Oryzias latipes: one gene and its partner. The protein of the gene in region 2 interacts with the protein of the main gene of each other region in a pairwise test. Links are inferred from orthologs where the notes say so. Each region holds a gene or a part of one and is shown on either strand. Other genes may lie near its edges.

What was found.
Region 1: the proteins of sncaip (region 2) and nub1 interact in a two-hybrid assay, tested with the Homo sapiens proteins (2 studies listed by BioGRID). The link is inferred for Oryzias latipes from reciprocal best matches to the Homo sapiens genes SNCAIP and NUB1.

What each region holds. Positions count from the first base shown.
Region 1 is NC_019878.2:4,789,765-4,801,701, forward strand, and holds nub1 (NEDD8 ultimate buster 1), read right to left. Parts: upstream 8,553-11,937; 5' UTR 8,341-8,552; intron 7,020-8,340; 5' UTR 7,017-7,019; coding exon 6,900-7,016; intron 6,795-6,899; coding exon 6,627-6,794; intron 6,545-6,626; coding exon 6,480-6,544; intron 6,396-6,479; coding exon 6,331-6,395; intron 6,201-6,330; coding exon 6,042-6,200; intron 5,946-6,041; coding exon 5,857-5,945; intron 4,445-5,856; coding exon 4,338-4,444; intron 4,264-4,337; coding exon 4,077-4,263; intron 2,930-4,076; coding exon 2,822-2,929; intron 2,753-2,821; coding exon 2,600-2,752; intron 2,523-2,599; coding exon 2,376-2,522; intron 2,293-2,375; coding exon 2,215-2,292; intron 2,135-2,214; exon of another isoform or gene 2,113-2,134; coding exon 1,923-2,112; intron 1,772-1,922; coding exon 1,629-1,771; 3' UTR 1,180-1,628; downstream 1-1,179. Other genes in the region: uncharacterized protein LOC101171205, read right to left, coding at 9,074-9,545, 9,652-9,850, 11,549-11,665. UniProt on the Homo sapiens protein: Specific down-regulator of the NEDD8 conjugation system. Recruits NEDD8, UBD, and their conjugates to the proteasome for degradation. Isoform 1 promotes the degradation of NEDD8 more efficiently than isoform 2.
Region 2 is NC_019867.2:29,613,010-29,626,010, forward strand, and holds the end of sncaip (synphilin-1), read right to left. Parts: intron 10,571-13,001; exon of another isoform or gene 10,083-10,570; 5' UTR 10,051-10,082; coding exon 9,994-10,050; intron 9,195-9,993; coding exon 9,122-9,194; intron 9,052-9,121; coding exon 8,513-9,051; intron 8,380-8,512; coding exon 8,232-8,379; intron 8,165-8,231; coding exon 7,908-8,164; intron 7,818-7,907; coding exon 7,638-7,817; intron 7,519-7,637; coding exon 7,405-7,518; intron 6,710-7,404; coding exon 6,584-6,709; intron 5,951-6,583; coding exon 5,781-5,950; intron 5,661-5,780; coding exon 5,571-5,660; intron 4,594-5,570; coding exon 3,618-4,593; 3' UTR 1,767-3,617; downstream 1-1,766. UniProt on the Homo sapiens protein: Isoform 2 inhibits the ubiquitin ligase activity of SIAH1 and inhibits proteasomal degradation of target proteins. Isoform 2 inhibits autoubiquitination and proteasomal degradation of SIAH1, and thereby increases cellular levels of SIAH.

The DNA of each region.
Region 1 (11,937 bases), on a different chromosome or scaffold from region 2:
CCCAACAATGTCAAGACGCCTACGGAGAAGAGATGGCATCAATGATCAGCTGGTGTGAGGAAAATAAGCTCTAATAACTAAGGTGATGATCACAGACTTTAGGAGAAAGTGTAAAAACCAGCGCCCCTTCATCTACTGTACATCAACAACGCTGAGGTAGAGCAGGTCAGCAGCTTCAAATTCCACTGTGTCCACATAACTGAGAATTTGTCCTGGACTCTACATCACAAGTCTCAAACTCCAGGTGATGTTTTACAACGTATGTGCCATTGAAGATCCTTATTGGCTAAACACACCCGATCCAGGTAATCAATCGCAGATAAGACAGTATTTCTGGAAAACCAGCAGGATGCTGGCCCTCAAAGTCTGGAGTTTGACACCCCTGCTTTACATCCAGAGTAGTAAAGAAAGTCGGACAAAGACTGTATTTTTTAAGGAAGTTTGGTATAAACACCAAAATACAATGAGAGCCTTTTGACAGGCCATATCACAGTGTGGTACTGAAATAATGTCATTCTTTAGTAACTATTGTAGACATTTTGATGACGTGTCTTTATTTTCCGTCAATGTATTCTTTGTCTGCCTGTCGTTTAGTTGGTGTCAGTATTTGACATGGAGACAGCAGGTAATGCAGGAAACAGCTGCACTTTATGAGACCAGAAATACACAATCCGTCATTTAGAAAAAAAAATCAGCACAATGTTTTTTATGAATTTCTTCAGACTAACAATGTTAAATATATTGGTGCTGCTGTGTTAATGTTTCAGATCAATTAACATTTAAAATTATTCATTGAATTATTTTTTCTTAGCATCAAATGGTTCAGTTGGTCAAAATGATTCTAGTTTTAATAAGGACTGACAGATTTTTTATATCAGGCACTTTAAGCTTTTTTTCTGTTTTAGAATAACAGTGTTTCTGTGGCAAAATGAAGTTAATATTTGATATATGTGTAGTTATATATCGCCTTTTTCTTCTGTTAATGTTAAAAGATACACAATTTTTATACATACTAACCTAATATAGTGTCACCGCAGTGAGTGTGTGTGTGTGTGTGTGTGTGTGTGGGGGGGGGGGGGGGGGGGGGGGGGGGGGGGGCGAAACATTAGCTTTTTCCTAGGCGGGGCCTTGCAAAAATAATTGAGAAGCACTGTACTAACCCAAGTTATCAAGCAAACAGGAAGTTAATCCGTCATGTTTAATATTGAGACAGTCCACACAAAAATGTACAGCAACTACAAACAGGCAGCAGGACTCTGCAGCACCTTCATCTACAAACACTGTTTGATAAGCAGAAGGTTCTGGAAGACTCGGTGGATGTCTGCCTCAAATTGTCCAATCTGTGGTGGGTACCAGGAGTTGATCAGAGCAGGACACTGAAGAAGTCATGGCTGTTCTTCATCTTCACTTTTCTCACAGTAGAGGGACACACACAGAATCAGTCGGGGGCTGGCTCGGTTCTGACCCAGGCTGGATCTGTTGTTTTTGCTCAGATTGGTTAGATGTCAAACAATCTCTGAAAAAAGACAGAGCCTGCTTGAAACCCGGACTTTCGGGATTTGTTTGTGGATTCAGGATGGAAGCATGATGGTGCTGTGCTGTTCCGCACGTAGCGGGTCATGTGACCGTCAAATGGTGTGCACGGGTCCCGGGTTCAGGTAAGCCTTTAAGGTGGCAATAAGCTGGCCTTCCTCTTCCAGCGTCACGTCCAGATACTCCTCTTCATGACGGGGGATGTCCTCCAGAACCTCGTTGACCAGCTCACTCTCCTCTGAAAGAACAAAAACAAAAATTTGACCATCACTGACAGACACGCTGCTCAGGTTCTGACAGAACTCCTCTGATGTTCCCCGTGTCCAGTTTGGGTTTCAGCTAAAAATCCATTGTGGAAGAAGTGGACAGACAAATGAGTCTGGCTCTACCTGGAGTGGTGGAGGAGGTGCTGGGCTCCTCTGACGATGGCGAGGAAAGAGAGGAAAGAGGCTGACTCAGCAGTTCTGGGGAGAGGACACCTTGGTTGTCCAGCAGCAGCTGAGTTGCGGCCTGGACGTCCCCCGCCGTCAACCTGAGAGCGGCTTCAGACGAGTCCCTCTGGAAGCCGAGGTAGAGCAGCTGACAAACACACAAACACACACTGAAACACAGTGACAGGCACAAACTCAAACACAATGACAGACACAAAAACACTGAAACACACGGAAGAGCAGGGCACACCTGATCAATATTCTCCAGACCGACTCCCTCCTCTAGGTTGTTGTTGGAGCTTTCAGGCTGACTGGAGTCCAGCAGGATCTGTAGACACACCAATGAGTTGGGAGGCGCACGAGACAAAGAGTGCCCGTGCATGTGCACGGAGGGCTGCACGTGAGACTGACATTGTAGGCTCTGTCCACGTTCCCGTCAGCGAGGTGCAATGCTCTGGCCGCATCTCTCCTGGAGTATCCCAGCTCTGTCAGGGTGGAGATGGCGTCCATCCTCCTCTTCCTCTTCTTCCTCTCTCGTTGTTTTACTTCCTGCCGCTCCTGCAGGAAACCACACACTCAGACCAGGCGTTCTAATGATCTCAGAGCACAGGCGTGTGGGTGCACGTGTGCGGGACCTGTTGGCGGTTGCTGATGTACAAGGCAGCCTCCTGCAGCTCTCCGTGACACGCCCTCAGTCCAAGACGAGCTTCTCTCTCGGTGAACCCGAGCGCCATCAGCTGAGCCATCTTCTCTGAGTCCGGACACAGGCGGGCGTACAGGGACTCCACCTGACAGACAAGCAAACATTTGAGTGCTGCGTTGCATCAGAGCCGGTCAGGAGAGCTGCGGCGACCCACCTTGGACAGCTGCAGGCGCGCCTGGGCGTCGTTCCCCTCGATGTAGGACAGCAGGCTCTGCAGGAGGTACAGGCGCAGGAACAGAACGTCCTCTCGGCCAGAGTTTCCCTGAAACCAGTTGATGTGTGATTTATTGTTTGACAGCTGCATGCAGTTCTGCTGGAGCTGTTCGTCAGTGGCGGTCATCTGACGTTCATCTACTCGTGAAAACGATTAAGGAACCACTCCGATGAACAAGTTCTTGGGGCATTTTTCTAATGATGGAGAACAATGTCATATATATATATATATATATATATATATATATATATATATATATATATATATATATATATATATATATATATATATATATATGACATATATAAAGAAACCTACGATCAAAATTGTATTTGCTTTTTTTTTTATTTAAATTATAGTTAATAGGAGTGGACGAAGAAATGCCATTTGAAAAAAAAAACAGCCCAAAGTATTATAAATACGCTGGGCTGAACACAAGCTCCCAGCTCTGCTCCATTCTGATCCGTCTACTTGCAGACAAATAGATCCATGTATGCTGGGTTGCTGAAAAGGGGTAAAGGTGGTTGATTCCAGGGGCCCCAGACTGAGGGAGGGCCCACAGAGGCCCCTTAATGATGATGAAATAAGACAAGAAAAATTAATTCAAAACTGTATGGCTCGCCATTTTTGTTTCACCTTTAATGTTAAGTTGGGGATGTGACAGACTGTAAGCTAATGGGAGAGCACATAAACAGAGAGCTCTCAACAACAGGGATGGGAAGGGGGAGGGTTGCTCCGTGCACACAGTCCCGCCCACAGCTCAGAGATGAATTTCTAATGAACTCCAGCAGAAACTGCCCAAAAAAAAAAAAAAAAGTTTTTTTTTATTTGGCTAAAAATGGCATAATCATAATAAAAAGACCACTGGGAACACTTTTAAGAGATCAAAAAATGATTTAATTGGGACTTCAAAGTGTAAAAAGCTGAATCTGAGCATGAAATAATATATATATCAAACAAAGTAGTTCATCTTAGCATGAAGACCTCACAGCTGCAAGAATAGCAGAATCTGTGAGATGGTTTATGTTTGGCAGCAGGTCATGAAGAGAATGAACCTTCTTCATCTTTGAACCATCTCAGTGAAAGGTTACCTGCTCGCTGCTTCCATTCAGGCATATAATGAGAGAGAAACTTCTCACTGAAGCCTTTTCTCACCATCTGCCTGTGCGTGCACGTGAGTGCCCACGTGTCTCACCTGGATCCTGAGCAGCCTCTGCTGCTGCTCTCCGTAGCAGCGCAGGAAGCCGTCCTCGGCGCGCTGCAGCCGGCCGCGCCCATCCTCCAGGCAGCCTAGCGCCTCCAGAGCTCTGTAGCACCACACGATGTCCAGCTGCAGGACAGAGAAGTTGTCCACCGAGGCGAGCAGCGCAGAGCCGCACTTACTGCACAAACACACACAGACTCAATACAGGAGATGCTGCCGGAGGGGGAGGGGGGCGGAGGTGCAGCCGTGTACCTGAACTGCTCGTCAGCCTGCAGCAGGTGACACAGAGCGCTGTCGTACTGCTGCTTCTTCATGAGAGCACGGCCTCTCTCGTGGAGACCCATGGCCAGGATCAGAGCCTGAACACACACATCCACACACACACATAAATCACGTGCAACTGAGAGTGTGACCTTTGACAAGTCATGACAACTGATCTGAGCAATCCTGTCCAGCAAATTTCTAATCAGCCAATCACATGGTAGCAACTCAGTGCGTTTAGGCTTGTAGACATGGTCAAGACGATTTCAAACCGAGCATCAGAATGGAGAAGAAAGGTGATTGAAGTGACTTTGAAGCTGGCATGGTTGTTGGTGCCAGATGGGCCGGTCTGAGGATTTCTGAAACAGCTGATCTACTGGGATTTTCACCCACAACCATCTCTAGGGTTTATAGAGAGTGGTCAGAAAAAGAGAAAATATCTAGTGAGTGGCAGCTCTGTGGGTGGAAATGCCAGGTTGATGTCAGAGGAAAATGACCAGACTGGTTCCAGCTGATAGAAAGACAACAGGAACTCAAAGGAACTCTGGTTCCAACTGTGGTCAGCAGAAGAGCATCTCTGAATCCACAACATGTCCAACCTGGAGATAGATGGACTACAGCAGCAGGAGACCACACAGGGTGTCACTCCTGTCAGGTAAGAACAAGAAACTGAGGCTACAATTCACACAGACTCACCAAAACTGGACAATAGAGGATTGGAAAAACATCTTGTCTGATAAATCTCCATTTCTGCTGCAATATTTGGATAATTTGGCATGAACAGCATAAAGCATGGATCAACGGTTCAGGCTGGAGGTGTGTCATGATGTGGGGATATTTTTTTGGAACACTTTGGGCTCCTGTACCAACTGAGCATAGTTCCAACGCCACAGTCTACCTGAGTATTGTTACTGAGCATGTCCATCCCTTTCTGAACAGTGTATCCATCTTCTGATGGCTACTTCCAGCAGGATAAGGTGCCATGTCTTAAAGCTGGAATCATCTCAGACTGGTTTGTAGAACATGACAATGAGTTCACTGGACTCAATTGGCCTCCACACTCACCAGATCTTAGGAATGGGAGATTGGGATCATGGATGTTTAGCCGACTAATCTGCAGCAACTGTGTGATGCTTTCATGTCAATATGGACCAAACTCTCTGAGGAATGTCTTCAGTATCTTGTTTAATCTCTGCCACCAAGGATTAAGGCAGTTCTGAAGGCAAGAGGGGTCCAACCCGGTACTAGCAAGGTGGAGCTGATACATTGAGTGTATAGATAGATAATATATATAGTAAACTTCAAGTATCCTGCCTTAGTATAGACCAAGCATAATTGTAGTAGACTTAGACGACGTTTTGCAAAGGTTTTTGAGATTATCCAGAATTCAAACAAGGATGATGATCATAAAACACAATTGAGCTGCAAGATGAAAGACTGATGAACCAGGAGTGGAAAGAAAATCTAAAGAACAAAACTTTAGGAAGAGGAGTGTCTGCAGGATCCAAACCTTCTTCTCGTGGTGTGGGATCTTTAGTGGGTTTCCCTTCTGGTCTGCAATCTCCAGGTACGGCACGGACTCTGGATCCTCGCTGCCATCTGGTTCAGACAGATCAGCCATAGAAGCCAAATATTTTTCGTCCCAATCTCAAATGTAAATGTCCAATTCCCAAAGGGAAGAGCACTGAGGCCTACCTCTCTCAGACAGGATCTGGAAGCCTTTCTGGGTCCTCTGAAGGCTTTCGTTTTGCTCCTTCTTCTCCTGCTCTTCCTTGTTCATCTGCTCAGAGTCGCTCACCTTCAGCACCATCACCTTACTGTGATTCTTCACACCCTGCTCATCCAGACGCTGATCTGAAAATGCAAGGTTCTTCTACATCAAAGCTAACTGGTATAATAACTTTTGCATCTGAGGGTCTCCAGGTTCCTCAATGTCTCTGGTTCCTGAAGGTCCCTGTTGGTTCCTACGGGTTTATAGTCTTACCTGCGCACAGAGTTCTGCCATTGAGGATCAGTTTGATGTGTTGAAGGTCAAACTCCTCCCTGATCCTGCACACAGACACAGACGTTAACCCCCCCCCTCTTCAAACGGGGGTTGACCTAACCTGTGATTTCTCCACCTCGGGTGTTTACCTCTGCACCAACTGCTGCAGCGGCACGTCCAGCCTCGTCTGCAGGAAGCTCCTCCCCTTCAGATTCTGGAAACAAACGGACATCACTGCTTCAGAGGACATCTGCAGACCCTCTCTGAAGCATAAAGGAGAAGTCATGAAGACCCACCTTCCTGCTGTCTCTGGGCAGCAGCAGTTCAAGCGTGGCTACGCTGGTCTCTCTAAACATCTTGTTTCTCTTTCCCCTCTTCACCGCCTGTACTCTGATGGACTCTAGAGCGCCCCCTAACTCTGTGACTGACAGATGCAGCACAGGAGCGTAACGCTGTGCTAGCTCCTGCAGACAAAGGAACAGGATGTTAGAACAAAAGAAAACAAACAGGTATTTTTTTTTTATTTCACAATAAAAGCTGCAGAGTTTCTGCTCTCGTGTGAGGCTGACCTGCATGTGCATCTGTCCCGGCTGGTCATCGTCATCGGTGTACGGAGGACTCCACAGCTGGACCTTCTCCTGCTTCAGCAAGTTCTTCAGCTTGGCCTCTATGTTCTGCTCTGCCATGGTCTGTGAAAACACCAGCAGGAAGTGGGACTGCGCACACAACTGTGAGGTTTCTGACCCGCTTCTTTCCTGATTTCACGTTAAGCAGAATCTGCGAAAGTTATAAGAGTTGATTTCTATCCTTAAAAATGCCATCCTTGGTGCTCACAGATCGGAGGGCACTAGTTTGAAAAAGATCTGCATGGTGGTGTAGTGGTTAGCACCGTCACCTCACAGCATGTGTGGGTTTTCCCCTCCCTCAGTCCAAAAACATGCTTCATAGGTTAATTTGATGATTCTAAATTGGTGTGCATGTGTCTGTGCATTCCTGCGACTGACTGTTCCGGGTGGACCCCACCTTTGCCCATCAGTAGAACCCTGTGACCCCGAAAGGGATCCAACAGGTTTGGAAAATGGATAGATGAATAATTTTAACAACAAGACAGCACCACAAAAAGACATTCGTGGATCTGTAAACAGAGCAGCCATTAAAACCAGTATATGTGTGTAGGAAAGGACAAGGTCATCTTCAGCATAAAATCACATTTTGGGAAATATGTCTGGGAAATTTCTAGGGCACTTGATTTGGGAATTGTAGATTTGGACAGCCCTACAAAATGGCGAACGCACTATAGTGCATTATATAGGGGTCAGAATTCTGACAGAGCCTCTGTTATTCGTTTTTAATGTGTGACGTGAGCCCAGATACTTTTATTGAGGCATCTGATTGCTCAGTTTATAACTTGAATAACTTGCCTACAGAAGAAAAAAGGGAGAAATATCAGGATTATCAATAACAGACGACAGCAAGAATAGTTATTCTGACAAATAAAATGACTAACAGCTGTTTATTTCTCTATAAAAATCTATGGGATTTTGGAACAAGCGGGTACTTCCTGTTTGGGACACGAGGGGGGGGGGGGGTCACTCAGTCCAGGCAGAACTCACATCAAAGCTTATAGATTTGCCCAATCATGTTTTAATTTGTGTCGTTTCATCATTTGAAATGTTTATTTATGTAGGTGTTCGGGTGTTTTGACCGGAAGACATTGTTGCATTCTGGGAAATGTAGGAATGCGTCTGTTCATCATGAAAACGAGCAGATTTAAAACTGTTGTCTTAATCAGATGTCGATAGAAATGCTAAGTTACGTAAATAAGCCTCTGAGTCTGTCGTTAGGTTTCGCTCAACACAACCCGGATAACTTGGTGCGGCTGTGTGACCTACAACAGATCTGCGCTAACAAAAGTTAACAAATTTGTGATCATTTAACTGGACTAAAGGGTCCGTTTTGAGCCGAAAGTTTGGTTCGGGATCGGACAGGAACATGTCAGTGAGAACTCACCTCGACTGTTTACGGAACGGAACCGTCACGATGACAAAACAGTCAAAAGCCTGCAGATGTGGAGCGACGTGACGATGTTGTTTTGAAGCCAAGGATCGGTTCAGAGAAACTGCGACCCAAGAAGAGCCCCCACACCCTCAGAGATCCGCGACACGCACCACGGCCCGAAAAACCAGCCAGTTCCGGCCCGCGAGGAACCAGCAACCCATCAGCTCGTCAACAATAGATGATCTTGGCAAAACTACGGTGTCTGACGAGGGTCCAACTTTCTCCGTCTTTTTCAAAAAGCAACATTTAAAAAAAGTAGTATACAAATGTGGCTGGAAATATTATACTAACTTTATTTAAGCATTTGAAACTCAAAAGTATTCTTTTTGAACATAAGATGTGTGATCAACAGACCAAAAACTCAAAAAAAGTTTTGCTAATTTTATTTATGTAAAGATTAACCAGAACCACAGGATAATGCTCTCAACATTTGACTATTGATTTTTCTTTATAATGGACACTGCAAAACTAAACACAAAAGGGGATCCTCAATGGCTCTTCTTGAGAACTAATTGGTGGATATGTTGACGCTCCCTGAGGACCCTCCTCATTAAGATCAGGGAACCGGAAATAAGAAGAACTGATTTGGTTCTTGGTTTGTTTCCCGAGCTTCTCAAACGTTGTCTGAGCTCTTCCTGTTCTGGTGCTTTTGGATTTGATTGGTTCATGAGGTTGTGCAAGGCTCTCATGGGGAGTACAGGCCAAGCCTCCTCGCAGCCTCAGAGAGCCTTGGAGGCCTCCGTTTGGGGAATGGGAAAGGGTTCTGAGAGGACGAACAGACTCCTCCTTCACTGAGCTGGCGGCCAAACCTGGGAGTTGGAACCAGAGCTGAACACCAGCCAGAAGACTGGTTCTGCTCCTGCTCCTCAGTGGTAGGGTGGGGGCAGAAACTATCCAAAGTAGGGGTCTCTTCAGAGTTGGTAACTTTGGTCTTCAGGGTGGAGGAGGAGGAGACAGGAACCTCCTCACTGGGATCCAGAGAACGCTGGACCTGACTTGAACCAGGTCTGCCATAAAACTGAAGGTCTGAACGCAGCTCAGATCTGTCAGTACAAACACGCTCTTCTTGTGCAGAGAACACACTGGGTGAGGTTTCTTTGGAGCTGCAAGGAGATCCTGATGGTTCTCTGGTTCTAGATTTAGAGGAAGGCCTAGGCCTGCACAGAAGAAAAAAAAAACAGATCCGGTTTCATGTGAAGATCTTTGTTCTCCAGAAGTGCAGTGGAAGCGAACCAAAATGAGGGAGGTTGACGAGCAGTGCACCTGAACAACAGCGGTGACTGGGCAGAGACAGCAGGTCGGGATCTCCGATGGAGGTCCAGGTGGACGTGCCAGGGGTCATACATCTTTGGGTCGCAGTCAAAATTGGCGGTTGAAGATATGGAGCTGATTGGTTCCAATGGCAGAGTTAAACCCTGAGCAACAGGGACAATGCTGAAGGCCTCAAACCGCTCCTCGGACACTGGAAGCAGATCAGACAGTACTTTAAAGTTCCACTCCAATCATCTTTTGATCTATTGTAAAAGTGTTCCCAGCCGTCTTTTAATTATAATTATGTCATTTTTAGCCCAAATCAAAATTCCTATGTCATTTTCTAGGACATAGTTTCTGCAGAGCAGCAGGAGTTAGTTAGAAATTCACTTCTGAGTCCTGGCAGGGACTGTTGGCAGGGAGTAAAACTGCACCCATTTCCCATCATGCCTTTATTAATACTCTCTCCCACTAGCTTACAGCCCCAAGCTAACATTAGCGCTGCAACAAAAATGGCAGAATTTTGGAGCTTTCCAGCGTACAGTTTAGAGCCAGATTCCAGGTCAGGCGAGGAAAACGAAGACAAATTACAGATCTATTAGGGCGAATCTGAATTTTTCCCCTACGGATTCTCCCTATCCCTTCAACTGTAGGGGCATTTGGAGGGATGGGTTGTCCACCCAATATGCACATCCATCTTTGCATAAGTTCGGATGTTGTTTGTTTTTGTGGATGAAATGCAGACACGCTGCTGAGGCTGACTCTAGTGCTATGTCCGAATACCCACCCTAACCCCTATATAGTGCACTTTATAGTGCGTTCGCCATTTTGTAGTGCTGTCCAAATCTACAAGTCCCAAATCGAGCGCCCTAGAAATTTCCCAGAAGTCTCTGCAAAAAAAAAAAAACTAGATCAGTGAATACAGACCACAATGCATTGCGCTGGAACCATTTTTGCCAGAAAAAAATGTATTTAAATGTATTTTCTTAAAAAATCATCAATGTTTTTTTTATCTTCGGAAGACAGTGGACTCATAAGTAATCGTCGCAAAACGCTCATTAACTAGATTTTAACTTTGTGAAATCGATGACGTCATATCCGCTGTTAAAAAAAAAAGTAGTGAGCATGGTGTCTGAATAACTTATACAATTCGGGGCACTAGATAGTGCCGCAGTTATCGTTTTTTGGTAGTTAGGGGTTAGCGTGGGAATTCGGAGACAACCTAACTTGTCATGAAATGGGCGGCACCCACAAGGAGTAAAAAGCGGAGCCTCAGATATATAGTCCTCTTACTTTTGGTTAGGAAAATTAGTTGCAAAAATAATTCACATTTCATTTAAAAGATCGCTCTTTGGTGTGCTAAAGGTAAAATATGATCATACATATGGAAATATGGAAGATACAATAAAAGGCATAAAGCTATTCAGAAAAAAGGATCAAAATAGCACATTTTGTGGTAAAAAACTGTTATTTAGTGAGATTTTTTCTTTCATTTCATCATGAGGAGGGGGAGAGGGGATGTACAGGGTTTTTTACATATCCAAAGATTGATATATGGAATAGGCTCAAGAAAAGCATGATATAGATCCTTTAAGGGTAGGGGCTTTTATTTAACTAAATAAATAAACATGTAAATTTATATCTGTTTATGACATGCAGCCTTTGTTAAAAAAATTAAACACCTTTGTTAACATCTTTTCTGAGTCTTTCTGCTTGCCACACAACCCCCCCCCCCACCCCCCCACCCCTTAAATACATTTCGGTGGGGGTTGGGGGTAATCCTTTCTGCAGAAAATTAACACTTCTCTGTCAATAAAGCTTCTTTCCTCTGATTTTCATTTCCCACCGCGTGCCGCTTCATCTTCGTGCGCAAACAAAGCAAACTATCTTAACAGAGGCAGTAGCTCACCTGTCCCGGGCAGCAGCACCTCCTGGCGCTTCTCCCTGCAGCTCCTGTACTGCTGTCTGAGGTCAAACACGTCCATCCTCCACACCGCTTCCTCCTCTTCCTCCTCCGTGCTGATCTCTGCGCGAGCACACAGACACGCGGAGGCGCGGTCACAGAGCTAACCTGTGCAGGTGCAGTTAAGGATTCTGATTTCCAGCGGCTGCGCAGACGCGACTGCGTTCTCCGTTAAGGTCAATTGTAGGATTCAGACTGTTGGAGCTTTCATTGCTCATTTTTATTTAATATTTAATTTTATCCTTCAAACCCCAGAATTTTGGTCTTAGTTATAAATTTTAAAGGAAAAAAAAACATAGAAATGTTTATAAAAGTTTAATTTAAATTAATCTTTA
Region 2 (13,001 bases):
TCTGGCAGTGATTCTGAATTACAATGCTGCCCCCTGCTGTCCCGTTGGGGAACTGCACACCATAACAGAGCCGAAGCAGAAAGATGGAGCACCAAATATTTGAATAAACAATAACAAAATAGTCCTTTTGACTGTTTAAAGAAAACGTGTTTGGGGCATCAGGTGCAGCAGCTGCAGCACAGAGGAAAGTCCCAGTTCGGTTTGGGTTCGGTCGCCTTCATCGCTATGGGTCTGAGCCTCCCCCCTCCAGCAAATCTGGCTCCAGGTTTGGGGATAAAACAGGGACCCTCCTTCCTGCCGCTTCAACTACATGTAAGATCTGCATCTCAATGATGCTGCGTGTCTGTCTGTGTGCCCCCCCCCCTTACCCCCACCCCACAGAAGATGAATGGTGTTTATCCTCAGCAGTCTGGGCAGAGCGGCAGGCGTCTAATTAGCGTTTTTCATAAAGGTTGGGATGGTTGGTATCCATCATGGCCGTCATCGCATCAATTAATGCCACTGACGGTCTGAGGAATTGTCCCCCCCCCCCGGACGGTCCACCCTTCACCGGCAGAAGAACCTCCTCTGCTGTGGTTGGCATTAAAGGCCTGTCATCCCAGCATGCCGCGGGGCCCCCGGCCACAGCCCAGCGGTGTCAATTAAATTTGATTGACTGAGTAAAAGAAGCACACAAATAAGCCGAAACAACAGACAGAAAAATCCATACATGACCCCCCCACACCCGTCTGAACGGCTGTCAGCTCCAACGCTCGTCTCGTCCGTTTTTGCCGCTCGTGTCGGAACACAGCCACTTTCTGTGTGCCCCCCCCCCAACCCTCCATCTAAACACAGCCAACCAATTAGTGGTAGCAGAGCCCCCCCCCAGCATCGACTCAGACTGCTGTTCAATGAACGAGTCCTAATTTATCAGTTTAACTTCACCTCTGCTGGACAGGGGGGGCCGTTTGGAGGCGGGGACCCCCCCCCCCCCAGGTTAACGTGCTGATTCACTAATTGTGGGGCTCATGTTTCATATGCACGGCCATGATGAAGGGGCCCCATTACAGCCCCCCCCCCCCTCTCGCAGCCCCTGGGGAACGCTGCCCGCCGCGTGGGAACCATCAAAGGCCAATTTGTCCTCCAAAAACCATAAATCGCACGCCGTTAAGTGACCATTTCTGATCCTGCTGCGGCGGTGGGGGCGGCCAACATTCAGGCGGCGTTATGAATCGCTCGCTAAATTAGAGGACACAACAATTCACACAAGGCATCCATCTCAATCGGACGGGGAGGGGGGGGGGTCCTGACCCCACCTTTACATTGACGTGTTATCGCTACCCTGACAAAGGTGGAGAGGATTTCATGTAATCCTTGGAAACCAGTGAGGATCAAAAATCATTGAAGAAAAAAGGTTCACCGTCTTGTGGGGTCATCTGGACCCCACTTCCAACGTTAATGTGCCGTTGATAGCACAAGGGCTAGAGAAGTGAGGACTGAAACCACCTGGACCCATCCTGCAGTTCCAACTGCTGTCCACCTGAGGGCAGCAAACACGGTCCTGCAGACCCTCTGGCCGATGTTTCTTTTACAATTCTGAACACTTTTGGGTTACGGTTTGGGGAAATTGCTTATTTGGTCGATGACGTCATCTCGTCTGCAGCCCGTCGTCTGTGCCGGTGTGAATGCCCTCTGTGGCTTTAAGAAAATTCATTTTTCATAACCAGACCACTTTAATTGGAAATAGAAATGTAATAAACTGATCGGTGTTGCTTCAAACAAAGATGTTTTTTCTTTTGAAACCTCAAATGTTTATTGTAAACACGTCAGATCAAAGTCAGCTCCATAAAAAGAGGCTAAAGCTCTCATTAGTGATGTTGAAAAGCAGCTTTTCTGTGAGTCCAGCTTCACTTTTTCAGTCAGGAGAGGAGCTTCACTTACAATTAAACGTTTCTCAGCCTTCATCATCATCCTCATCATCCATCAATACTTGGTAGAAGGTGCATCGTTGAACCCCCCCGTCTGAAAATCACACAGCTACCTACCTATCTACTTCATGCAAAAATACTGCATAGATCCTTAACACAAGTCAAAGCAAAGAAAACTTAAATACAAACATATATATATATATACAGTGGTTTTCTGTTGTGCTGTTACATGTTAACACTGTGCACGTTTATCATAAATCATAACTGTGTGCAGAAACATAAATATAAGTCAAAAAGAACAAGGACTCTTCCTTTCAATAGAAGAAACAAAAGTGACAAATTCAAACTAAATCCAAACGTCCTTCATCCTGCAGAGCTCTTCCTCACAGCCGTTTCTGTTCAGGAGAGCCGACTCTGAAAATCAACTGAATCCATTTAAATTCATCTTTTTCTGGCAAAAGCAGCTTTAACATTATTTTTTTTCAAACTGCACATCCTCTCTTTAATCATTTTAACAAGTTTAAGACGTTTTGAATGGAAATGAGTAAAAGAACCAGAATTTGACTGAATTGCTGCTGTAAGTCTGAATTGATTCAGAAAGCCAGCAAAGATGTCGCCCCTTCATCATCATCATCATCATTGCTCATTTGAAGCCTTCTAACCCCCCCTCTCTATGGCATATAACTCCAGGATGGGCGGCTCGAGGGCCGCATGCATGTTTTCCAACATACCCCGCTCTGGCATGTTCCCGTTGGCTGGAAACACCTGAACCAGGTAATCCGTCACCAGTAGCGCTCGGATGTCTGGAGTTGCCAATCTCTGAGACCCTTCCTTCGCTTTCCAAACAGGAAGTACCCCCTGGCTCCAAGAAGCCAATATCCCGTAGACGTCTATAGAGTAACAGTCGTTACTCATTGGTCACAAGAACCTTTCTGGATCTGATGCCTTTATTTAAAAAACATTTTCTTTATAATCCTCATCTGTTTATATTTTTTTAAGATGCCTCAATAGAAGTATGCGGTGTAGCCCAAAGGGGCGTGGCCTTCCAACAGGCACAAGTGGTTGCCATAGAAAAACGTCGATTCAGCCCAATCACTGCTAACTAATGTCTGGTTCCAAAGTGGTCCGACTTCATTTTGCGGGAACTGGAAGTGAGTTCTTCTCCATGGGTGACCTCACACTCACTCAGTCCAGTTTTCATTTACAGTCAATGCAATGATCCAGTTGAACAAACAGCTCAGAGGATCCCCCCCCCGGACAGAGACACAGCCCCCCCGCCCACCTGCACCTCTCCATGGCGATGAACTCTGTGTCTGCTTCCCTCCCGACTCCCTAAACGACCACGTGGTGCAGGACTATCGCTGGACTTCAGTGCAGCTCTGACTCGTGCTCACTTGAACTTAAATATGACGTCACCCATCTTCTCAAGTGAAAACCTGATCAACATTTTAAAAAAAGTCACTTATGAATCTTTTTGGGTTCTCCAATAAAAATTTAGATGATTTATGAAACATTAATTTACATTTTTAATTAAAAAAACTGTTCAAATTCAATGCATTGTGGTCTGTATTTTCCAGTTTGCCAGTCTGGTTCTCAGCAAAGGCTTCTGGGAAAATTTCAGGACTCTGAGAATTTGGACACCCCGAAAAAAACGGCAAACGCCCTTTATAGTGGCATTAAGTAGTGAGAGGATTCGCCTCATCAGCTTCCTCAAACGTTACTGCTTTTGCTCTTGCTCTTGGCTCCGCCCCCTGGGCTGCTTTTGCCCTCTGACTTCCTGCTGGGGGAGCCCTGGCAGGTGGCTGGTTTGGGGGCGGAGCCTGCCTGAGTATTGTTGTTGTTGTGGTTGGAATTCCCACTCAGCGTCTCCATGATGGAGCGGAACGCCCCGAACGGCCGCTTGCTTTCGGAGCCCCCCGCTGAGGTGCCCCCCCGCCCCTGCGGGCCTTTGGAAGGCTCTGCTTCCTGATTGGAGCTCTTGTGGACCTGCTCATCAAAGGTGACCCTCAGCTTGAGGTTCTGGGACGTTTTCCTGCGTGATGAGGGCGACTTTAGGGCGCTCTTGGGGCTGGTTGCGACTTTCTGTCCGTCATGCGCGTCGTTGGGTGTCTCCGGAGTTTTCCCGTCAGCAGCTTCGGGGTCGCTGGAGGTGGGGGAGGAGTTAACGCCGATGCTGTCTGCAGACTTGGATCCGTTCAGAGAGAAGGCCAGCCTCCTCTCTGCTGACGAGGAGGGGGCAGAGAGCTGCTTCTTCGTCACAAGGTGGAGGGAGTCTGGTCCGGGTTCTTCCTCTGCGATCGGCAGGTGGGTGGGCCTATCCGGCCTCTGCGTGTTTGGGTGCGCCCCCCCCTGGTTCTTGCCCTCCTCGGGTGGATACCCATCCGAGTCGGACTCGCTTAAGGAGCGCTGCATGATCTGCTTCAGCCTGGCCAGTTTCAGCTCCCGCCTCTCCACCAGTCCGAGCCTGCGGCCCCCAGCGGGTCCGGGGCCCTCTCTTCCAAGGCCTGCCGGGGGGGGCAGCCTCTCCCGGGGGCACAGGGAGTCAGGCACGTCCTTTCCCAGCAGCTGACGCAGCACAGAATCGGGCCCCACCCCTCCCTGACGAACTGACCAGTGGGTGTCGCCGGGCGTCCCCTCCGCTGTCAGCATCATCTCTGGCCACGCCTCCACTGAGGGTTGATGGGAGCTGGAGTTCAAAGAGGGAGACGAGGATGGATCAGACAGTAAATGGATCCCTGGACATCGTTCAACTGAAGTGTTTTGTCAAGACTGTAGAAGAGAAAAACGACTGAGAATCACCTCCGACCTTTGACCTTTCAGATCTGTTTCACACAAAGAAGTGAGACAGAAACTGGAAATAAACTGGTTCTAGTGTTTTTGGTCGGTTCAGATAACTAATTTTAAGTATTGTTACTCTGATATAAACTTATTCCAAGAACTATTTATGAAAGTAAGCAATTAACGAAGCTTGGCTGTTTTTTCCCTCCATAGTTTTCACGTTCTGTGTTTTCTTCTCATTCAAAACGGATTTTCAAAGTAAAGTAAAGTAAAGCGATGGGACAGATGATGCTGTGTTCACAAACACAATTGGCTTATTAAATTTGCGTCCTCTGCCTTTATTCAGACGGGCTTCCGATTCACGGCTGGACACTTGTGTTCATACATCTGCCGCTCCGCCCCATATGGGCGGAGCTACTGCAAAAGTGTTCAGCCTCATCGTTACATTGCGGATGACACAGATGATGTTCGGAGATCAGATTTATTTATTTTGAAGAGCTCTACAAAAGCACCGGTAATCGCGTCTCCATGTCTGGGTTCAGAGATCAATCAGAGGCGGTGAGCTTCACCGTCTCCTGCAGGAGCTGCGTCTGAATGACGGACGCTTTCAGCGCTACTTCCGTCTCTCTGTGACCCAGTTTGATGACTTGCTGTCCCACATTAGTCCGAGGAGGGGAAAAAATAAAATTACAGGAACTTTTCATTATTGACTCGATGCAAATAAGACAAATATTATAAAGTCCAGGAGGAAACCGATCAGATTCACCTCCATGTTGGTTTTGGACTCCACCCACTGCTGAAGACATCAAGACGTCACGAACCAACGCTGGCATCACCAGTGAGTCCTAAAGTTGTGAAGTTTAGTCTGTGGTGTGTTTGTGGTACCTGGGAGATCTGGATGGCGTCCCCTCTCCCTTGTTGGGGTCCATCAGTCTCTGGAGTTGCTTCTGTAAGCTGACCCTGTCTGCCGCCTGCCTGCAAAGCAACGCCAGAGGAGCTCAAGGCGCCTTCACTGCTTCTGCATCGTCAAAGACACTTTTCCCTCCGTCCACCAGCTCTGGACAGGTTTCCTGACCCAAACACACGACAACTTACTCATTGAGCTGCTTGGTGAGTTTGACCACCTGCGAGGCCAGCGACATGCATGTTTCCACGACGACCAGGTACCGGGCACACGTGGTGTGGCCCTGCCGCTCAGCACTCTGGGAGGGCCGCTCGCTCTGCTGGTTCTGGACCGTCACGTTGGAGCCGTACTCCACCAGAGTCTGCGCACAAGTGAGCTCAGATCAGAACCAGGAGGAGTCTGACGAGAGCTGATGAAGCTTGCAAAGACTCAGTTCACTCGTTCTTTCCGCCAGTTTGAGTTTTACAGCGATTGCTTCCACACTTCCTGTTTGGTTTACTCTCAGAGTAGAGGTTTTGTCTGGGCATGAGATTCATGGACAGGAAGGATGTCATGGCTTCATGAGCGAGACGGGATCATGGGAAAAATGCAGTAACAACGTATGGAGCTTTGTTTATGACAGAAACTCCTCAAAGTCTGAAGCATTTTTAAAGTGACTGGCTCTTTATTTAGTTATTTTCAAAATAAAAGCAAAGCCGCGGATCACAGTACTGAAGTGCACTCGGCCTAGTTTTTGTGGTAACTTCTTCCAGCTGTAGTTACACCCGGAAAACCATCCTGCTGATCCTGAACATCCATAGAATCTCATTTACAAGTCTTGGTGCTGCTCTCCTTATTCCTCTTTTAGTCAACAAAACAAAAAGGTGAAAAACTTCTCAGTCGTGGTACAAAAAGTCTCTACATGTTATTTGATGGATTTGAAATGAATTTTGTTTGGACAAATGAATCTTTGCCTGATACTGACGTGTTCGTCACTACAGGATGTTCAGCTCACCTGTATGCAGGTGAGGTGTCCGTACTGAGCTGCCACATGGACGGCCGTGTTCCCGTTCTGATCCACTTCGTCCAGAGAGATGGCCTGTTCCTGCATGAACTGAAGCAGCCACAGCAGGACTTTCTCCTGGACACACAGACAGACAGACGGATGCTGAGGAGGGGGGCTCCTTCAAAACAGCAGTTGACGCGCACGCAGGGACCAGTAAACACATCATCTACATTAACTTACCTTCTTCTTTCCGTTCCTATTCCCCTACAGGTAGCACACTAGGTTGCCGACTCATCATCCTCACGCATACATTTACACGAATCACACACGACGCCATCATTAGAGTTCATTTGTTTACCTTGAAGTGGTCATCGACACACCGGGTCATGTGACGCATCGGTCTTTGTTTGTATTTATTTTTATTAAGGGTTATTGGAATTTCTTTGTAATGAACACAGAATGTTTCTTTGTATGAAACTGTTTGTTTCTGAATGTTTATGTTTTTGAACAATGTAAAACTCTTTTCCTTCTTCCTTTGGACTGATGGAGAGCTACGCCCTGGAGGAGGGGCTTACCATTTTAAAGAGGACCTGTTACAGGTGTCAGAGTGGAGTGTGGGAGTCTAGGTGGAGAAACATATGTTGGTTGGCCTTTGTGGAGCAGTTGTTGTGCTCTGTTCTTGCATTAAACACAGGAATACTTTCACCTTGGCGCCTCTGCCTTTATTGACCCACGACAGGCGTCTTTGTGTGAAATCATTTCATGTGTGTGAAGGATAAAGTCCTTGACAGGAACAGATTTCTGGGTTCTGATTTGACGTTGGATCGTACCTGACCGTATCGAGCCGCATAATGAATGAGGCTGGGATGTTCTCGGCTGCAACTGAGCTCGGCGATGGCCTCCGTCTCGCTCACCATCCACCGCACACACTCCAGATGACCGTTCTGCACACAGTCGGGGTGAATTCAGTCAGGATGATGCTTCCTCTCTGAGCCAATCTCCACTCGTGTTTGCATCAACACAATTTTGGGCGCAGACCTGGCACACCGTGACAGGAACTGACCTTGACCCCCAGGCCGGCGGGCGTCAGCTGCTGGCTGTTGCGCTCGTTCAGGCTGTCCTCCCCCATCAGAGAGGTGAGATGCTGCAGACAGTCGGCGTGGCCCTGGGAGGCGGAGACGTGCAGGAGGTTGTTTCCATCCTCGTCCCTGATCAGTTCCAGGTTGTCTGCCGCCAGGTGAGGCTGAGGAGGAGAAGGGGGGGGGGGGGGGGATGCAGGTGAGGAAGGCAGCGCTGAGGACGCCTGTTAATAAACAGTGAGGGTGTGACTGACCAGCAGTGAGATCTGCCCCTCCCTGACGATGTTGATGATGTTCTGCTTCTTTTTGGTCTCCTCATCCACCTCCCCTCCTGCTATTCCAAAGCCTCTCAGTGCCACTGCTCCACTTCCAGCACTAGGGGTCCTCACCTTGGTGCTGTCTTGCCTGCTCAAGCTGCAGCCCGGCAGGGGGAAGACCAGTCCTGACCCCCCCGGAGGATCCATGGGGGGTCTCTGGGAGTCCGGGAAGACGCGAGCAGACAGCAGCTTGTCTGGAAACGAGTCCGATTAGTGACTTTCTGTGTTTACGTGGGAAGAGCGGAGAGGTTGAGGCCCCACCTGCATCTGAGAAGGAGGCGAGGGAGGAGGACAGAGGCTCCGGCTGGTAACCCCCCCCACCTGGAGAACGGTTGAGGAGGTGGAGGTCTGGATCCATGGACCTGGACTTCCGTAGATCTGACCACTTCAGCGGAGACAGAACACAGAACTGGAGGAAAACAGAGACAGCACAGGTTTAAGACCCCCCCCCCCATGTTTTACACCCATTATTGTGTAGGTGGAGGTGGGGCGTGTGTGTTTGGGCGGGTTGAAACAGACTAACTTTCTGACAGAGGACTCACCTGCGTCTGCGAGCTACTGCCCAAACTCACAGGCTCATTATGGGGCAGACCGGAGCTCTTCAGGACCCCCCCTCGACTCCTCTCCAGCGTGCCCCCACCCGCATTACCCCCCATCACAGATCGCTTGTCGAGGGGGGCTCGAGGCAGTGTGGACACGTGCTGGCTGGACTTGATATAAGGCACGTCCAGGATCTCATCCATGTCCAGGTCGTAGTGTTCCAGCTCCCCGAACAGAGCCTGGGGGCCGCCCCCCTCCCCCATGCTGCTGCTGGGCCCCTTCACCTTCATCCCAGACCCATCCAGCGGTGTGGGGGGGTTGGAGTGCTTGACAGAGGTGGGGCCATCTTTGCCGAGCTCCTCCTGCTCCCCCAGCGCCTGGTCCTTCCCCTCAGAGTCCGAGTCTGTGGTTTCGGGCTGGTGTTTGAGGGGGGACACCCTCTTCACCGGCCGAAACTTACTGTGGACCTCAGCCAGCCCCCCCGGTTTGATCCCCCCACCGCCGTGTGAGGAGACGCTGCGGCCCCAGCTGATGGGCGGAGCTGCGGGAGGAAAACAGGTGAGTGTGTGAGGCGGTGAGCGCCAAGGGAAGAGAGGCAGGATCAAACACACCTGCTCTGTCCTCGGCCGGCACATCGCTCCTGCGGGACAGCGCAGGGATGCTCTTCAGGGAGGAGACGGCGTACTGCGGGACAACGGGGGGTGCGAGCAGTGAGACCCTGAGCTCATCATATAAACACCAAGCTGCAGGAATTAAACGGGCGAGGAGAAACCGCTTCAACCCTAGTGACCCTTCCTGTGACCCCGCTATGATGTCATTTCCTGTCTGCACGGTCATAAGAACACAAGTGTTGTGTGCAAATCCCTTCACGACTCACAACATATCGCACTACATAGTGCGTTTGACTTTTTGTAGTGCTTGTTTGGATCTACAATTCGAAAATCGAGTGTCTCTGCGAAAAAACTAGTGTGCATCGATGCTCACTGGATTAGCGAATATAGACCACAATGCATTGCGTTTTGGCCAAAAGAATGTATTTAAATGTTTTTTTTTAATAAACCAACCATTTAACCTTCAGAAGATAGTGGATTCATAAATGGTCATCGCAAAACCTCTTTAACAAACAATTTCAACTTCGTGAAATTGATGACATCATCATCACTGTTAAAAAAACAAAAAAGTAGTGACTGAATTGCTTTTAAAAGTATATAGAAAAGTATAACTACAAAAATCTCTTAACTACGACCACCTGCTGCACGCCCGTAGAAAAAATGTGCATGAACATTTTCTCTCTACGGGCTCACCGAGTTGTCTACGACTGAAGTTTTGTGCGAGCCCCCTGTGTGCCCCCCCCCACGGGTTTGACAGCATGTATCCACCCATAAGAGCAGCTGGGACTAAGGTTTAAGAAAAGCCCATTGAGGTAGAAAGGTGTGGGGAAGACGCCGGTTGAGTTTGTGTCGTTTCTGCTCGAGATACTGACCACTGAATCATCAGAGAAGTCGATCTCATCCAGGTCCAGGTACTCAGGAGGCTCCATGTTCCCACCACATCGTCAGCCTCACAGCCAACCTGCACACACACACACACACACACACACAACTTTCAGTCAGTCACCTCTGAAAAACACACCCACTCAGCTGCGATCCAATCTGCAGAAACAGCAAGACAGGAAGTGGGCGCAGGAAAAAGCAGGATTCAATGTTTGGGCTGAAGCAAGCTTCTGCACAGAAAACCAGCAGAACATGAGGAAGTGAGTCACTTGTGTTTTTGGGAAAAGGGGAAAACGGCGCCTTTGTCCTGGAGCTAAACCTGAGCTGTGCTGATCAAAGGCAGCTGACAGGATAATCAGGATTAGTCAGCGTGACTCCCTGTCAGAGCCAGAACTGACTTGAACCAAGCAGCAGCCATGGACCTGCACGCTTCCCAGCATGCTTCACTGACCCGACTTCAGAGCATGCATGGTTACAAAAGAACAGAGTTCCCATCTTTTCTAGAGTCAAAAAGCTCAGGTCAGACCCCTGCTGACACACAGCTCAGGTTTCCCAGCTCTTATTTTTTATCTCGACTTCTCATGTATTAAAATCCACCAGCTTTAGGAATTTCTAGCCTCTGACTATGGTGCTGATAGGACAGAGGAAAGTTGTTGCTCACTGATAAACTACCAAAAATCTTATCTTTTTGGGTTCAAATGTTTTTTTGTTCGTTTTCATTTAAAGTTCAGAAAACTTAAACCTTTTTTTTGTCTCCTAAACACATCAAAACCCCTTTTGGGTCCGGCTCAGATGTGACCCAAAACCCTGAAGTCATGTTGGGCAAATAAACTGATCTGAAGCCATTGTTCACTTCTGACGCCATCTTGTTGACATCATCAAGCCCCAACTGTTCCAAAAGAAACAGCAAAATGGGCGGGACAACCACACCTGTCAGTTGCCAGAACCATTGACTATACATTTGAGAACTGGACTGTGTGACCCCTCCCACCTCGCTTTCCAAACAGGAAGTACCTGCTGGCTCCAAGAAGCTAAAATCCTGTAGACTTCTAGAAGTAAACAGCTGTTACTCAGTCATTTTATTGGTCAGAACACCCATTCTTGCTCTGATACCTGTTCTGGATAATCCTCTTTTTTCTGTAGAGCAAGTTATTCGAGTCATAAACTGACCAATCAGATGCCTCAATAATAGTACCGTTAGACTGACAGATTCTCCTTAGCCCACTTTCAAGTAGAAGGGGTGTGGCTTTACAAGAAGCTCACTCCTGATTCGCAAGAGTGGTGGCCATAAAAACCTTGACTCAGACCGGACCAATCGCCGCTCACTGTCGTCGGCTGGCTCCAACGTGGCGGCGTCCGTAACATGGAAAAATTGGGACTTAATTGAATTCCTTTGGTTGGTGACGGGAGTAAAGCATTTTTAGTGGGCGTCGTCACACTCAGTCCAGTTCTCATACAGTCAGCGGTTGGAACACGCCCAGAGAATTTGAAAGTTTCCGATCAATCAAGTAGCCACACACATTTGAGAGCAGCATCAATAAAAAAATAAATAAAACAGAGTTGGTAGAACATAGAAATTCCCCCCCAGTGCAGCGGTTTTATAAGTCTAATCACATTCTGAGCCAGACTGTTGGGAACGGAGAGCCACAAGCCCCCTAGAAGTAACTCAGTGAACTAATCTGACTACAGTTACTTTTTCTTTTAAATCATCCTCAACAAAAAAGGAAACGGTTGCCGCTGGGCTGCAATGAGCCACTGAACTGTAGCATATAGAGAACTGGACAGAGCGAGTGAGACGTCACCCATAGAAAATGCCTCACCTCCGGCTCCAGCCCAAATGAACCCAATTCTGTCGCCATTTTTCTGCGATACGGACACCGCCATGTTGGAGCCAAAGGACAGTGAGTGGTCTGTCTGTCAATCAAACATTCCAGGAGGGGGCCAGCGGGCACCACAAGCCTTTACTGAGGCATCTGATTGGTTAGGTTATAACTTAAACAACATGCGATAAAGAATCATGAATAGATCTGCACATAAATCGCAAATTTATTGTTATGGCGATATCAAGTAGTGCAATCAAATATCGCAAAAGACGGTAAAAATTGCACTAAATGGTTACATTAAATGTGCTAAAACAATCTTATGAAGTAAGCTTGAAGTATTTAATGAATCAAAAAAAATCCATTTATGCATTTGACCAATGGATGGACGGATGAACCCTCTTCACGACGTTGACCAATCGCACGAAACCCTTTGATGTTAGATGTTCCCCTCCTGTGTGGCCTTGGGTCATTTGCTGTATAATTTAAGTTATTTTGACTTTTTAAATTAAAACTGTAGCAGTGAATTGGAAACGATGTTTTTGGTTGCCCTGCCATTTGTTCATGTATCGCAAGTTATATCATCATCGCAATGTTGATCAGTAATATCGAAAATCGCGAGTTTTCCTCAGATCGTGCAGCCCTAATCCAGAACAATAGAGTGACTGAGCAACAGCTGATTATTTCTCTATTGAGGTCTATGGGATTTTAGCAGGTCCTTCCTGTTTGGAATGCGGGGGCGGGGGCACTATGTCCATGTAGTAATGAGATGTTGAATCTCCCGTTCCATCATGTTACATGAATGCAGGCTGATGTGTTCCTCACACGACATCCAAACCCAGGTCTAAGCAGGAGGAACCAGTGTTCCTCTGGACAGCCATGAAGAACAGATCCAGATGAGAGGAACCTGATGGCTGATGGGGCAGAGTTCTGCTCCTGAACGAGGTCCAGATGTGCAGAGGAGCCTACAGCTGCTTTCATCTCTCTCTGGAACAGATCTGTCAAACAGATCCGCCCTCTGGAAGCCTCATCCCAAATAAAACAGTCTGCTTTAAACGCACAGGTCTTCATTGAACCGATCCACGGCTCCCTGACAGCTGGAATCGTCTACAGACGAGAGTCAGCCTGAAAAAACGAATCGTGAAGTTTGTTTTTTGTCAAACTAAGATCCACAACCC